Linked DNA regions of Alligator mississippiensis. Each later gene encodes a partner of the first gene's protein in a complex. Links are inferred from orthologs where the notes say so. Each region holds a gene or a part of one and is shown on either strand. Other genes may lie near its edges.

Evidence for each region. The genes of interacting proteins can lie anywhere in the genome.
Region 2: the proteins of AMFR (region 1) and UBE2G2 are in contact, whole or in part, in an NMR structure (PDB 2LXP), measured with the Homo sapiens proteins. The link is inferred for Alligator mississippiensis from reciprocal best matches to the Homo sapiens genes AMFR and UBE2G2. Residues at the interface, in NP_001135.3 of Homo sapiens: Ser574, Ala575, Arg578, Gln579, Met581, Leu582, Arg585, Lys586, Leu589, Leu590, Ala593, Arg594, Arg596, Phe597, Leu598, Lys600; in NP_003334.2 of Homo sapiens: Tyr13, Leu16, Thr17, Pro20, Gly23, Ile24, Val25, Ala26, Gly27, Pro28, Met29, Asn30, Glu31, Glu38, Leu40, Met42, Glu45, Glu50, Phe51, Val53, Val159, Gln160, Leu163, Gly164, Leu165.

Annotation. Positions count from the first base shown.
Region 1 is NC_081833.1:41,615,918-41,623,353, reverse strand, and holds the start of AMFR (E3 ubiquitin-protein ligase AMFR), read right to left. Parts: upstream 3,177-7,436; 5' UTR 3,108-3,176; coding exon 2,868-3,107; intron 1-2,867. Other genes in the region: NUDT21 (cleavage and polyadenylation specificity factor subunit 5), read right to left, coding at 6,959-6,980. UniProt on the Homo sapiens protein: E3 ubiquitin-protein ligase that mediates the polyubiquitination of lysine and cysteine residues on target proteins, such as CD3D, CYP3A4, CFTR, INSIG1, SOAT2/ACAT2 and APOB for proteasomal degradation.
Region 2 is NC_081830.1:33,419,849-33,427,903, reverse strand, and holds the start of UBE2G2 (ubiquitin-conjugating enzyme E2 G2), read left to right. Parts: upstream 1-4,885; 5' UTR 4,886-4,961; coding exon 4,962-5,004; intron 5,005-8,055. UniProt on the Homo sapiens protein: Accepts ubiquitin from the E1 complex and catalyzes its covalent attachment to other proteins. In vitro catalyzes 'Lys-48'-linked polyubiquitination. Involved in endoplasmic reticulum-associated degradation (ERAD).

The DNA of each region.
Region 1 (7,436 bases):
TACAAAGAATCTCCATCACTGGGCTCTAAAACTGAAGCCCTTCCCCTCCCCCCCTACACTCAACCCCACCCAAATTAAAGTTTTGAATTTTCCAAAAGCCACTTTACAGTAGCTGAGACAGTTTGTGTATGTCCAAAGCCAAAACACATTCACCTCACTACAGGTTTGTTATTTCTTAAAGTAACTACAGAATTAATCTCTACGTTTCCCGCTGCTAAGGTTTCTTAGTTCTTGCAGTCTACCTTCACTGTTAGATTGCTTAATACAAAGTTAGAAAATTCCAGTTTCAACATATTACAAGGACATCATTCATATCAGGTCTCAAAATCTAATCAATAAGTTATATACTTTCTGCAACTGCATCAATTCTCTCTTGGATTACAGCTCTTGGCAGTCATTTTAAACTAAAGCCATCAAAAACAGAAAATGCTGAATTGTTTAAACTTATCTCATACTTTTGATGAGCAAAACCTTTTGAATTATGCACATCAAAATACATGAGGAAAAATGTGACAAGAGATTATATTCCAGCAAAATGCACTTTCAAGGGACATTGTAAATTTTTGAAGGACTCTTAAACAGATGAAGCCCCATTTCAAAAATCGGACTCAGGAGGCTCAGCCCCTTGGGTACTTTGGTAAAATTATCCATAACGAACTTAAAAATCATATATTGTAAATAAACATACCCTGGGTTTTTATATTCTATTATTATATTTATATTACATTATCAAACATGAAAAAAAAATAATCTAATTGAAGTATCACGTTCTTTGTTGAGTTTGCATTTCATGAGATCATTAAAATAAATAAAGTAAGTTTCACCCAATAACTGTTATTTCCACTTGCAGGTAATAAGATTGCATGTTTTGATGTGAAACACAACAGAGGATTTACTTTAAAAAAAAAATTATTTAGGCAACTATAGAACAAAACCCCAGCACATTAAACACACAGGAATTGCATGTCATGACATTTTTACAAAGAAATACTACAAGGGTTATAATTGATCACTTGCACTATTTGTGTAAACATTTCTATTGGTGTTAGATTTTGTAAGACCTTGTTTTCACAACTTTTACAATGTGGTTTCAAACACAGGACTCACTTACAAATACTTCCTACAGAGTAGCATGTTTAATATTCTGAGTAGCCTTCTGCCTAATCCCAAAGTGTTACAGGCACCATGACCATTATGTTTTGAGTTCACAGAATCCCTATTATTTTAAATAATGACATTCTAAAATTATGTCACCTAAGAGGAAGACAATTTAACAAGCTAATTACAAAGGTACACTACATTTGAGTCTCTAGTACAAATGAACATTAAATACGGAAGCCAGTTCAAATATTACTATTTTAGTGGACTCAAGGAAAATGACCATTTTGGGGTTGTTTTTTCTAAATCTGGTTCATTTATACTAATGCAACGTAAGTCTTGCCCTGTCAGAGGATCCTTATCCTTTCCCTTGCCTTTTACTTTCCTTTCCCTGAGGGCACCTACACACATGCCCAAAGCCTGCTCCAACATGCTCTAATTAGAATGCATTGTAGCAGACTTGATTATCAAATTGATTCTGCTCACTTGAGCTTTAGTTAAAGTGCCCCATTGCCATTTTGAAACACAGGGAAGCTGCATATATGTGACACCAAGTCTGCTGGAGTGCTCCAATTAGAACACCCCAGCAGCCTAAGTGTCATGTGTATTCAGGGTCTCTGCATTTCAAAACAGCAGTGCTTTAACTAAAGCTTGTCAAACGTGTTTTAGTTAAAGCATCCTCGCTGCCACGTTGAAGCACGGGACACTGAATACACGAGACATTGGAAGTATTTTTATTAGAGCAGCTCCCGAGAGCCACTCTAATTAAAGTGCCTCACCCCACCAACCCCAGAGACCACAAAGGAGTCACCCCTGCCTTTCACAAGTTGCCAACATTGTTCCTTCCCTCCACCAGAACGGTTTCCTAGACAGTAAAAACTGTGTACATTGGATCACCCATAGAAGAACTTGTATTACTTTACTACAAATATCACTTGAAATGTTTGAGGACTGGTCATCTGTGACCCTGTGATACAGACCCCAATCTGAACATTCATTTAGAACAAATTGCTTATCCCCAGCTCCACCCTAGTCGTGTTTTGGGGATGTCCTAGGAGATGCTCAGCCCATACCTATACAAGAACCTATTTCTGAAAAGCAAAGGCCTCAAACATTCCTCTGAACCCCCCCACAGGTAGGTACCAAGCTGCCTTCAAGGCCTTGCCGCACCTTCTTATGAAAACTGGACAGAAACCAACTGTAGGGTTACACATTTTCAAGCACTCCCTTGGGAGCTGGTGGGGTCTTTCTAGGTGGGGGAACATTTGTATGGTGTGAGAATTACTTTACAAGTGAGATCAATCTGCAATGATTGTGCAATTTAACCAATGAATTGCATGATTGATGCAATGCTTGGCAGGGACCCCCTGCCTTACATATGCCATGAATCCATTGGTGAACCGCGCAATAAATTCAGACCAGCCACAGGTGCAAAGTAATCCTCACAACACACAAAGTCCCTGCAGGCAGAGGCACCCCCTGGCTCCCTGAAAGCAGGGAACAACCCTGTGGCCAGTCTGGGCAGCCTTCACGCAGGCCTGCAAGGGCAGCAGGGCTGAGGTCTCCCAGGGCCTGTGCAGGCCTGAGGCAAACCTGCCCGCGCTGGTGGGAACGGGGCAGCCCTGCTCCCGGCTCCCACACGAGCAGCAAAGGCCCAGCCCAGCCCTGCGCCCCCTGCTGAAGCGGCCGGCCCCAGCCTCCGCCCCTCTTGCCCAGACAGAAGCCCCCCGGGCCCAGGGGCCTGTGCAGCCGCCGGTGTCCGTGCTCACCCAGACGCAAAGGCTGTCTGACAGCAGATAGTAGGCGACGTCCAGCGGCAGCGGCCCGGCACGGCTCGGGCTGGGCTGTGGCTCAGGTTGGGGCTGGGGCTCGGGCCCAGGCCAGGCGGCAGGGGCCTGGCTGAGGGCGCGGTAGGCGCTGAGGACGCAGCCGAGCAGCGCCAGGGCGCTGAGCCCCGCGTACGTGCGCAGGCTGGGCCAGGGGAAACGCTCCAGGAACAACAGCGGCATAGCGATCGCGTCTGAGCCCAGCTAGGCCCCGCCACCTCCCAGCGGCCTGCGCGGTCCCCGCTCCCGAGCGCCGCCGCGGCCGGGGGGCGGGGCCATCGGCCCGAGGGGCGGAGCTGGGCTGGGCGGCGAAGCGGCTGAGGCCGGCGCAGACAGAGCGGACATTGGGAGGCCAAGGCCGAGCCCGGCTGATCTCCGGGAGATCTCCCTCTGCGAGCCGGGCCTTTCAGCTGGCTCCGGGCTGCCCGGCCCAGCGAGGACCAGACCCTGCCGCTGTAAAAACTTTTTTCCCTAAGCCTCCCTCCACCTCGCCTCCTGTAACTCGGCGCTGCCCGGGAAAGCGCCTGCTCGGCAGCTCTCACAAAGCTCTTCCCTTAGTCTCACAGCAATCCGGCGGCTCGTCTGAGCCTCGGAGAGGATTATACGATGGAGGGGAGGCAACAGCCGTCCCCGGACAACTTGGATATTGTTATAGGTCAAAAGCATGAAGTGGCTTCAAGAAGGGCTGGGGAGGGGGCTTGTGGGAATAGGAACTCAGGTCTAGGATACTCTGGGTATTTGGGGCCATTTCTACCGACAGTAAGGAGACCTCTGAAAGCAGCAGGAGCCAACTGCATTTCAGGAAAAAACAGTATCCTACACCCTGAGTTGCTGTCAGACTCATGCACAGTAAGTTACCCAGCAAGTCAGTTAACCAAGTTTTATATTAACAAAACCATTAGCCCACACTTGGGTTTTGTCCTTACTTACTAGTACTTGGCAATTTTAAAATGTAACAGTACTATACATTTATTTCTTGCTTTTTTAATATTTGCCGTATACTTTTCAGCACTTCATATTGTGATGTCTGATTACCCATAAGAAATAATCATGGAGCCACACCAGAGCTTGGCCAGCAGGACACTGCTTGCAGCACGTGCACCATGCCAGGCTCCTGTACTACATGCAATGTGTGCAGCTGGTCTATCCCCACATGCCACGTGCAGCACACGCTGGCCCCATTTCAGAGCGCACTTTGCACACCCTCGACAATGCATGCTGAATGGGCAGGTTCCAGACTAGCCCTAAATCATTCCAGTGTGCGTGTGCACAGACATCCGGGCCAGCCCCAGAACCAGCATGCAGAGCTAATCCAACAGAGCACCCCATACAGCGCATCCCCAGTGCCAGCCCCAGGCGCCACATGCAGAGGAAGCCCCAGAGTGGAGCCAGCATATGCTGCCCATGGGGCTGGACCAGCTGCACACTGTGTACAGCATCCCACCAGACTGGCCCTGCCCACTGGGTCCAGCATGGCCTGATCCAGCCTGCAGACCAGCCCAGCAACCCTGATCCAGCCTGAGGCCAGATGAGTTTGACACCCCAATCAGTATCGGCCAATATGGCCGGTTAGTGGGCTATCAGTATCAGCCAAGAAAATCCTTTATCAGTGCACCCCTACAAAAAAAACAAACCCTAGTTCTAATGTGTTTAATACTTGCAATAGATGGAGATGTGTTGAGGAAACATCTCCAAATCTGAATGCTCCATTGTGAGAGAACAAATAAACAACTAAAGGAGTTCTGTACAATAAGGCAATGGGTCCCAGGTAACAAGTGTGCACACTTCTTAAATGTACTGGCTTAACCCAGATTCAGTTCTATAGCCATGGCCTCCTAGATCAAAGAGTCTTCTTTAGGGCTTTTTAGAGCATTTCTGTATTATACCTGGACTGCAGAAATTATTTAATATAAGACATTTGTATTAAAAGTTTTGGGTCAACATCTACAGAGATCTGTAATGAGCCCAGATCCTGGTTTTCCAATTAAAAAAAAGAAAAAAAAAAAAGTCACAAATTCTCTGATGAACACAATGTTTAATTGATATATTTACAATTTTAAAGCAAATTGGAAGCCTACCAATGTTTCAATCACTATAATAAGATAAATACAAAAATTTATAGGTATTTAGAATTCGATTTGGGATCTTTTATTATGGAAAAAAATCAGAGCTCCCCCTGTCCCCTTAACTCACAGAACACAGGTCCAGGCCTCACTCCCCACCCACAGCCCCCTTGCCAGTGTCTCTCACTCCCTGCCCCACTCCCTGTCACCTGGGCCCTGCTGGTGCCCATCACTCCTCCCCACAGCTTCCTGCCCCCCCAGCCCTGCTGGAGGGAGCCCCCAGCTGCCTGGGCTAGACCAAGGGACCTGGGTCCACAGCCCTCTATCCCCCACAGCAGTGCCTGAGCCCCAGCTGCCGCAGCATAGCAGAGCCTGGCTCCCCCTCCCCACAGCAGGCAGTGGGGCTGGAGCAGAGCCCATGAGGGGGCAGGTGCAGGCTGCCTGCTACAGGCTCAGATCCCCACCCTGCTGCCTCCCCTGGGGCCTCTGCAGCCCAGGGGGTGGGACCCAGCATGGCAGGGCAAAGCAGGGCCGGATGGGGAAGCTCCTTCACGCTGTGAGCACCATGCTGCCCTGGCGACATGCCCTCTGACCGCCCCGCAGCAGCGAGGGGTTACAACCCCATGCTGCTGTCCCTGTTGCTGCTGAACGGGCAGGGGATGCCTCACCAGAACCCGGGGCTCACAGCAGCAAGGAGCTTCCCCAGTCTGCCCTGCCACTGGGTCCCACCTGCTGGGCTGCAGAAACCCCAGGAGGAGGGCAGCAGAGTGGGGAGCCAAAGCCCACAGCAGGCAGCCCGCCCCTGCCATATGCACAGATCAGCAGGACACAGGCCCAACCTGGGAGTACAAGCAGCAGCAAGGAGCCAGCCCCACCGCCCCCACCCCCTGGAGGAGCCACCTGTAGCCCAGGTCACACTCTCTGCTGAGGCCCTGCAGCCACACATTCCAGCCCCAGGCCCCACATACCACCTGGCTAGGCAGCAGCCCCAGCCCTGTCCAACTCACTGCCCCCCTCCCTATGGGGGCCTCAATCCCTCTCTCCCCACCCAAACTTACCTGCAGGAGCTGCTGTCCTGGCTGCCTGGCAGGCATGTGCATATACATGCACATGGAGGCCCCTGCCTGACCATCCTCCTCCTGCTCCCCACCCCAGCCCCTTGCAGGCTGGAACTCTGCCAGCCTGCAAAAAGCTCTTTGCAAAAGTGCAAAATCTACATGTTTCTCCTTTAAAATGAGAAATCCACAGTTTTCTTGAGTAAAGGAGAAAAATCCACGTTTTTCTCCATTTTTCCACGGGTAACGGAAAACCCAGATCCCTGGTAATGAGCAGTCCAGTCACTCCACCAGTTTATTGATAATGCTTTCTGCATTGGTCCACATTGCCACTCAGTATTTGCGCTTACAAAACAAATGAATTGCTGGGTTATTGTTTTTAAGTCATTCAGACCTCAATCCAGAATTCTAGCCTTAGTTGTCAGACTCTCTGCAAGATGCAATGCATAGTTAACATGAAAGATCATCCCTCCCTCCAACATTTGTGGGGATTTATTGGTTGGCAGAACCAGATTTACCCTTGTTCTCAACCTGTGCCAAGAAAGCAAGAGATTTAAGTCTCCCACCCACCTTCAGGAAGACATCTTAAACAAATGAGACGTATCCATTTTTGTTTAATGTTGTAGAAAAAAAAAGTCAGGTGAATATTACAATGAAAATGGATTAAAACACTGAATTACATTTGCCATCCCACTATCTAAACAGTCGAGATTCACTTCTGTTCTTACAATAGAAAATGTTGTGACATTAAAGGTGGGTAGGGGAGAGGGCAAAAAGGGGAGGAGAGCAGGGGGGGAAAGAAAAGAGAGAGAGACATAAAAAAAATCCTTGCATCACATGTATTCTTTCCTCTACATCTTAAAGCTGTGCTCACAGAGACGGCTTCTTCTACCACACTCTTCAGATAGAATGGAATTCAGTTGTAAATAAAATTGAACCTAAAATAGAAAAGAAGATACAATTGTGCCATTTAAGATTTATTTTTATTGGTGATATTTAAAGAGGTGTTAAAATGAGCATGCAATGCACGATTCCTACTCTTGACAAACATACATCCAATAAAAAGCAAAGACATTTTTCACAACAACCAGCAAATATTGTCTATACCAGTCAGGCACTATGCTCAGTCAGGATACTGAAGGGTGCAATCTTGTAGAACTGGTTCTTCTCAAACCTTAATAACCTCTCAGATAACAGAAAAGCCAAGATGAGTTGTGCGCCCACCAGGAAATCGCTAGCCAACAAAACATTCCAGGGTCGCATATGAACAAACTAGAGTTCAGCTCTTAAAAAACAAGGTTTACTCTGCGCTCAGAGATTGTTATGCAGGTACTAGTGAACTTAACATTCTGGTGAAGGTAGTGTGCATCTATCTCAGTTTTCAGATGCCTTTG
Region 2 (8,055 bases), on another chromosome or scaffold:
TTCTGGTAGAAATGTTCCTCAGCACAGTATCTGCTTTTGTGTTTTCTGCTCAGTGCTTCATATGCCTCACTTCATTGTGCCATATATCTTCAGAAAAAGAGCTTATAGTGCTAAGGGTGGTGGGCATTTGGCTCTTTAGAAGAAAAAATAGTCTTTAATATGCTTAAAATGGGCCTGCCCTGCAGTGGTTTCTCTTTTCTCCTCCTTCACTCTGAACTGGTTGGCCTCTTAGTTGGCTTGTCACAGAAAAGGAAGGAAAGGCTCACCCTGCCCCTTTTGGAGAGGAAGGGGAAAGCTCTCCCTCTAGACTTCCCTAAGAAGCACCCTTATTTGGTTTCCCTTTCTTCAGAAGATGCCCTGCAGCCAGCCCCAGCATGGCTGCAGGAGGGGCAGCCTCTGGCTGTGGCTCTTTTTAGTCCCTGGCTTCCCCAGTGATCTGTAGCACCCTCATGGGAGCTCCTTTTCAATCAGCTCCTGGGGAAGGAGTGGGGGGTGGTATTTTCTTCTTTAGAAGACAGTTATCAGAGTGATGATGTCTCAAGCAGCACAGCAGGCTGCTTCAAAACAACCAGTCTTTATTGTGTCATTCCAGTTCCCTCTGTCCTCATTCAGACTTTACTTTGTCTTCCTTGGGACTTTCTGTCCACACTGGCACCTTCTGCTGTTCCCCAGCTCTCTTGGAGCTTCTCTCATTCTCCTCAAGCCCAGTCAGCCAAATTTGCAACCAAACTGTAACAAAACTATAGTCTTAACCTGGGGACAACAACTCACCCAGTACAGTGAAACATGCTACGAGTAACTGGTGAAAGAGCAATCTCTGGCCTGTTGTCAGGCCTAGACTGCCATCTGCCCCTGAGGTGAAACAGGGGCATCTAGACCTCCTACACAGAGAATTATTTACAAGTACTATTTACAGGAAAACCTGCCCACATTAAGCACCCCAAAGTGCTCCCCACTGGATGGGCAGGCTAGAATCCAGCTCACCTAGCTTCCTTCATCATATGGCCGAAGCAGGGAATTTACCCTGCAGCTTCCACCGTTGAGAGCTGCAGGAGAATACAAAACATGGTAATGAGAAGAGGGAGCTTGTTTTTTCCTCTTCCCTGAGAAAATACTGCTCACTGCTGGGATAGTTAGGTTTCCTTTCCATCCCCATCTCCAATGCTTTTTTTCAGGCTTATTGACTATGGTTAAGGTTCCACCCACCTGTGCTCCTGTCTTAAATCCACAAACTAGATTACATCTCTGAAGCTTCTGTCTGCATGTGTACAGTAACCAAAAAAAAATCACTGAAAGTTTTTAGTGAGATCTTAGGCTGTTTTTGGCTAACCATCAGCTTCACACACTACAAAGGAACTAGAGGGGGGGGGAAATTTTCTCAATCAAAAAGCAAGGACAGGAAAGGCGTGGACAGACATAAAACATTTCAAATACCTCTGAAATATTTCAAATGACCAGATCCAAAAGTGGCTGAAAAGCTTCAAAAGTAGCTCTTTATATAAGGTACTGTTTTGGAGCATTTCATTTTTTGGTTCTGGTTTCATAGAGAAGGGAGGGAGAATGGGTAGTCATTCTGCCAGCCAGCTATCCACTAGCCCTACTCCAGGTCAGGGTTGTGCTGGGTCTCTGTTGGGACCCCCATCTCTCCCAGAGCCAGGCACGCTCACCCCGACTTGGGGAGGGAGGTGTTGCCCAGAGCTGGACTCTGGCCCCAGTCCCCTCTACACCTACTCTGCTGAGGGGGGGAAGGGAGAGCTGAAGGGTACCTACAGCTAAGTGAGACTTTCTTTGATGGGACCAGGAAGCCCCCACTTACTTCTCTTCAGCTCATCTCTGTCCTCTACCTGTTTTCCTTTGAGGAGTGGGGGAGCCAAGAGTAGAGGTAAGCAATAGGCCGCTGCAGTGTTTTGAAACATTCCTGTTGGGAACTGCACAGGCTTAAATGTTTCGTTTGTGAAACATTTCCAAACACGTTTCAGTTGCTATGTCTGCACCCAAAGCAAGTCAGACTGAAAGCAGAAGCTAGATTAAGTTAGAAAACCCATGTTTTTCAAAATTGGTTAGCCATTGATGCAAGTAACCAAAGGTGGGCATGGATTCTACAGCACTCAACTCCTTTATGACTAATTCAACTGCTGGTTGCTGAGCTGGAAACAAGTACTAGAGTGAAATTCTGGGTGCTGTATTTCAAGGAAAGCAGATATGGCACAGTTTGGCCACCCCTGCTCTAAAGAGGCACAGGCAGCTTTTGTGCGTGCCACATGGCAGACTTAGGAAGAGACAAGCAGCACAGTGGCAGATAGGGCAGGGAGCAGAAAACAGAGCAGCAGATGGGGCAAAGAGCACAGGCCAGGAAGTAGAAAGCGAAGCAGCAAATCATGCAGTGAGCAGAAAGCAGGAAGTGGGGGGGGACACTCAGGAAGGGTGTGGGCCTAGTTTGTGGTGGACCTGCCAAAAAGATTGACCCCCACTGGATTAGAGTATTTTATCAGTCCTGTAAATAAATGGGATACTACATCTGCTCATGCATGGAATCACAGGTTTGCCCTTACACAGATGCAGGATTTGCTGGCTCCAAACCATCCCAGACAGATGCCTCATGGTGTGAGCTGTTTTGTTCCTGAGTATTTTCGGCCATTTTGACTGCTGCTGCTGCAACCTATCATTGCAATTAGTGTCTGCCTAAGCAGTTTGGAATCCTTTGGGTGGAAGATGCTTTGGAAATGTGAGCTACTGTTAGAAATACTGTTAAAAAAAGGCTGTGAAACTTCTCTCGGTTTATCAGTACTCAAAACTGCATCAGCAAAGGAGTAAAAAAAGGGGGTCTCAGTTGTGAAGAAACTGCAGGAGCAAAACCTAGAATTGCAGAGCAAATAAAAGTGATACAAGTTTGCCAAGTGATACACCTTCACACCTCAGTGCCTCACAGCAAACTGCTGTTGTCACCCCTGAATGTTCCAGGCCTAAAAGGTGCAAAAATTAGTGTTGCTACAGTTGCCAAAAGTAAAATACCTCCCCTGCCTCACCTGTGGATAAGATGTGGAAGTACTGTAATTTGAGACACTGCTTCCATGTAACTGGAGATTCTGTGGCTTTTCTCTTGATTGGCTCTTAAGTGTCCCCTTCTTGGTAGTTTGTCAGGATCTGGGGTTGAATTCTGCTGTGGTGCACAGAGCCACCAGCTGTAACTATGACCTTGTGGCCATGGACATGGCTCCCCTGCCAGGCTCAGGTGGTATCCCAGTCCCCTCTAACAGCGTGACTCCCTTCCAGTGTCTGACACCTTAACTTTACCCACCTGCCTTGTGACACTTGCCTTGCACAGACCCCTGTGCTTTGGGCTCCCTCACACCATGTCTGTTATTCAGAACTAGGAGCAAACAAGTTGTGAAAGTGATGAGCTCCATGCTGAGCCTCAGTACAGAGGGCTTTTGGGAAAGAGAATCAGTCCAGCTTTTCTCTTGGCTGTAGGCTCTTCCCTGCATTCTCATTGTGGTCCATCCACGTACGTTCTTACTGCAGCTGCTTCACTTGTATGCTCCTTTCATACTTCTGCCCTCCCCAGCCCATGAATAACCACCTCTCTCCCCTCCCCAGTTAAGTGCACATACACCAAAACGAACTGGAACCAAATGTAAGCAGGGAAATGCATGCCTCCTTTGGCTTAGGCCTCGTCTGCATGTACGTGTTGCTGCTGCCAAATACTGTCTGCTTGCAACACTGCCGAGAAAACATTCACGTGGTTCCCATGCGCATGCTGTGCTGCTACAGCATAAAGTGGCCCGCAGGAAGGCACCAGCAGCTGAAGGGACTGTGGCAGTCAGAAGTCATGGCCCTGTCTACCTATGCCTTCCATTGAAGGTGGGCTGCAGTAAAGCTCAGAGAAGTGGAAAAGCAGGGTTGAATTTAGATGCTCTTGAAGTTTTTCCAGCAGACCAGGCCTTAGCTATCTTTACTGCCATCACCTGAGGCTGGCATTAGCTGGATACCACCACATGGGCAGGGCTTACAGAAGAAGGATTTGAGTGGAATTGCCATCTTTCATCAGGGCAACAGGAGGAGAGGTTTGAGGTGGCATATATTTTTTTGTCATCTCAAAGTTTGTTACTGACAAGAAAGTGCATCTCCCTGACTAAAACCTAGCTCAAAGAATCCGGTCAAAGCAAATGACTGATGTGGTCACTTACAATTTTTTTTTTAATGCTCTTCCTCCCCTTTTCCTTATCCTTTGTATATAGATTACTGTATTCCAGGGGTGTTGAACTCTTCCGGCCCCATGGGCTGAATGAAGGGCATGGGGTTGCTCTGCAAGCTGCATCAGGCCCACAGACTGGCCCCAGGCACTAGAGCCAGTGTACGGACACCTCACAGTGCTCCCTCCAGCCCACCCCGTGCTTCCTGCAATGCCCGTGGCACCGGGTCCAGCTCCAGCCGCTGCACGCACAGCATCAGACCGGCTCCGTGCCTCGGGCCAGCACTGACTGGCCCATGCCACACGAGGCGCACGAGGTCGGGTCCGTCCCGGGGGCAGTCTGGATCTTTGACACCCCTGCTCTATTCCTTTCTGTGTAGTACTGTCTGCAGGGCCACACGCAGCACCTGGCAGGCTGCTGCCTAGCGAGCCAGTCTGTCACAGCCCTTCTCAACCTCTTAGGCCCCCTTGGAAAATCCCGGTGCTGAGCATCCACTCGTGTCTTGAGACCACAGCAACCGGGCTCTTGCAAACCGCTGGGAAACCCCACCGGCCCCGCCCCTGGCCGCAGGCACTGACATCACAGCGCCTCAGGCCAGCACCCCACCGCCCCTCCCACCCCGCGTCCGGCGGACTGCCATAGAGACGGGTGGCTCGCGCGGCGGCCTGGCTAGCTACCGCCGCGCGCGCTCTCTATGGCGGTCGGCTGAACCCGGAAGCGCTGAGGCGGCCGGCTCGGCCCCCTGCGGCGGCGGGGTCGCGGGTGGTCATGGCGGGCACGGCGCTGAAGCGGCTCATGGCCGAGTACAAGCGTGAGTGAGCGGCGGGTGCGGGCGGTACCCCGGGGGGTCTTGGGCCCCGAGGCCTTCAGCCTACCTATTTCTGGCAGACGCGCGCCCCTCGCTTCTCGCCTCCCGCAGCCTTACCGTATTTCTCGGCGACGTGTGGGCGTGGCTTCCCCAGGCGGTGGTGGGGCGGGGGAAGCACGGTGAAAGGGGCTTCCCTGCGGGCTGTCACCCCCCATCCCCTCGGGCGTGGGGCGCCCGCAGCACCCGGCTGCTGTCCACGTCGTTGTGGCTGCCCGGGAGGCGAGGTCCAAACCCAGGCCCACGTAGGCCCTGCGCAACCCGTGGACCTCGCCAGGGCATTTCTGGAGAGTGGAGCTGGGCACCGGGCCGTTTGGCCTCAGCAGTGGAGGCCTGACGGCTGGCATCGGCGAGGAGCGCTGCCTGCGGCAACAAGAAACGTGCATCGTCCCCGCCACCCCCAGCCAGCCGGCCGGCCGCAACCTAGAGTCACTGCTGGGGAGACATCATTGCTCAGGGCAGGGTCCCGCTTGCTGTCCAAGCAGCGCTGCTGTTAAAGAAAACCGAGAGCCGCAAAGCCAAGTGCAAGTGAGATCAGCGCAGTTTTGGACCAAGACTTCAAAACGTTCATCACCCCCTGCCCTCCTTTGAAAGCAGCCAGAGAGGGAGACAGTACCGGCAGGCAGTGCAGGCATCCCAGCAGAGGAAGCCTCCCCCCAGGTTGCTTTGCTTCACCCTGCCCTCACGGCTGCTTTGTTGCTCCCAGCCACAATGCATAAAAGTGCTGTGTCGATCCCACCATTGGCAGGTCTCTAAATGCATGTCTGAATAAAGCCAGGCTGATGCAGATGGCCCGCAGAGACGTTGCTCTGTGTTTTTTCTTGTTTCTAAGTTGGGACAGCAGGCTCGACCTGCATGGCTTGCAATATATGTTGTTGCTGGGCCTGTGGTATTCCCGTTCTTAATTTTCTTAGTTATATGTGACATGGAAAAGGAAAGGACCCTTTCCTCAAAGGAGAAAAGGTCACTTGCTGCAGCTGTTGGATAGATGTTGGACAGAAGGCAGGGGAGATAAGCACCTTTAATATACTAACTCACTGCTGCTCAACCTCTGTGGCTGATGGGCCAGATGGGCAGTGGATGGTCTATGGTCCTGATCTGGTACCTGGGGCAGTTGCAGTGGGAACCCATCTGGCTCTGCAGAGCGGGAGAAGGGTACTTGGCACCTGATGTTGCTGCAGGGAGGAGGGGACATGGCCCAACCCTGATCCAGCAGCCAAGGAGAAAGGAGCAGTGTGGCCTGGCCCCAACCTGCTGCATGGTGCTTGGGGTTTAGGAATTTGGCAGTGAGGAAGGGTGGCCATATTAACTGCCACTGTTCCCCCGCTGCCAAATTTTCCAACCCCTGGCAAGCCCCACGGGCCACATTTGGCTTGTGGGCTGCAGGTTGAGCACCCCAGACTAATTAAACAAGATCTATAGAGAGAGAGAGCAAAGCTTTTGTGAACTAAAGTTCACTTCCTCAAATGACAGCATCTGATGAAGTAAACTTTGGTTCACAAAAGCTTGTGCTGCATGTGCATCTATCTTGTTGAGTTAGTCTATAAAGGTGCATTTCTACCCTGTGTTCTGAGTGACTGCAGACTAACAGCGAGCTACCTCTTTCTGCTTATATATGGTGGAGTTACAGGTCTTCTGATTGTTGAGTACATGCTCATTTTCCTAAACCTGTGGTTCTCAACAGTTTTGGATTCAAGGGACTCCTTGTTAGATTTCAGGCATAGCTTTCGTGAATTGAGCAGCACCCCATTTAAAAAAACTAATGTATTACAGTACTTACCTCTTGGCAGTGATGGGCAGGGCAGCAGCAAGGCAGAGAGGAGCACTGAGGGTGTCCTGACGCTCTGGTTGAGAATTGCTGTACCGTGACGAAATGAGTATGATAAATAGAAGTATCACTGCTTCCAGAATGAGCCAGTAAGCAGCTTCAGGACCTGTTCTTCAGTAAAACAAAGAAACCTTGGCAGTGTCTTGCTTGGTCCAGATAGGAAATACTTAGATAATTGGGAGGTTGATGCCATTTGGTCGCATCAATCCATTTAATTTCTTGTGAATAACTATACCCGAGATGGGATGCAGGAATTTATATAGGCCCTTGTGTGTTTTCACAGTGTGTGTGAAGATTGATAGGGCATGAAGAGTAAGCTATTTGTGCAACTGCACATTAGCAGCAGGTTAACAGCAAGGTATGCTGCAACTTCTTTTGATGCTCTTGACAGTCCTACAAATGAAAGTTCTCTATCACCTTTCAGAAGCGCAGATTTAAAAAAAAAATTACCATCTGCTTGCAATTGGAAGTCTCAACAGTTTTTTTTTGTTTTTGTTTTTGTTTTTTTTTTTAAAGGAAACATTCCCAGTTGAAAGGACATAGCAAATTTCTGTTGGACAAAGCTGCTGATCCTGGTTTTAGTTGTTTGCCTAAATGCTCTGTTCTTGAAACGGTGGGCTTAGTAATCTTAAAAATTGAGCAGAACAACAATAATAATATTGAGCAGAACAACAATACTGCCAGGCATTATATGAATTCCACAGCTCTGCAGCAGGTCCTGATTGGATTGTAGTAGCATCATCTCCTGTTCTAGTTCTGGGTTTCCCTTGAGATGAAACTGGCAAACTATAATAGAATGTAGTCTTCTGAACAGTTAACATCATTGGCAATATTAATATACCATGGAGTAATGTTACCTCTGGAGACTCCAGCTGGAAAGTTTGGTATGCTGAATCTCAGCTTTCATGTCTCTCTGGAATATCCTCCATTCTAAAAGGCATGGAGTTCTTTGCTTACTGTAGTCAAAACCATGTGTCTGTGAAGATAAGTATTTATAGGTAAATTATAAACTGTCTGATGCGTTTTCTCCATCAGGGAGACATAATTGTACTAATAGGCTGTCTCTTACATGTTTGTTACCAAAAGCAGAAACAAATCTAAATCCTAATTTCTCTTCCTTTCTTTTTTGCTGTATGCTGAAGTATTATAAGCAAATGCACAGTCATAGT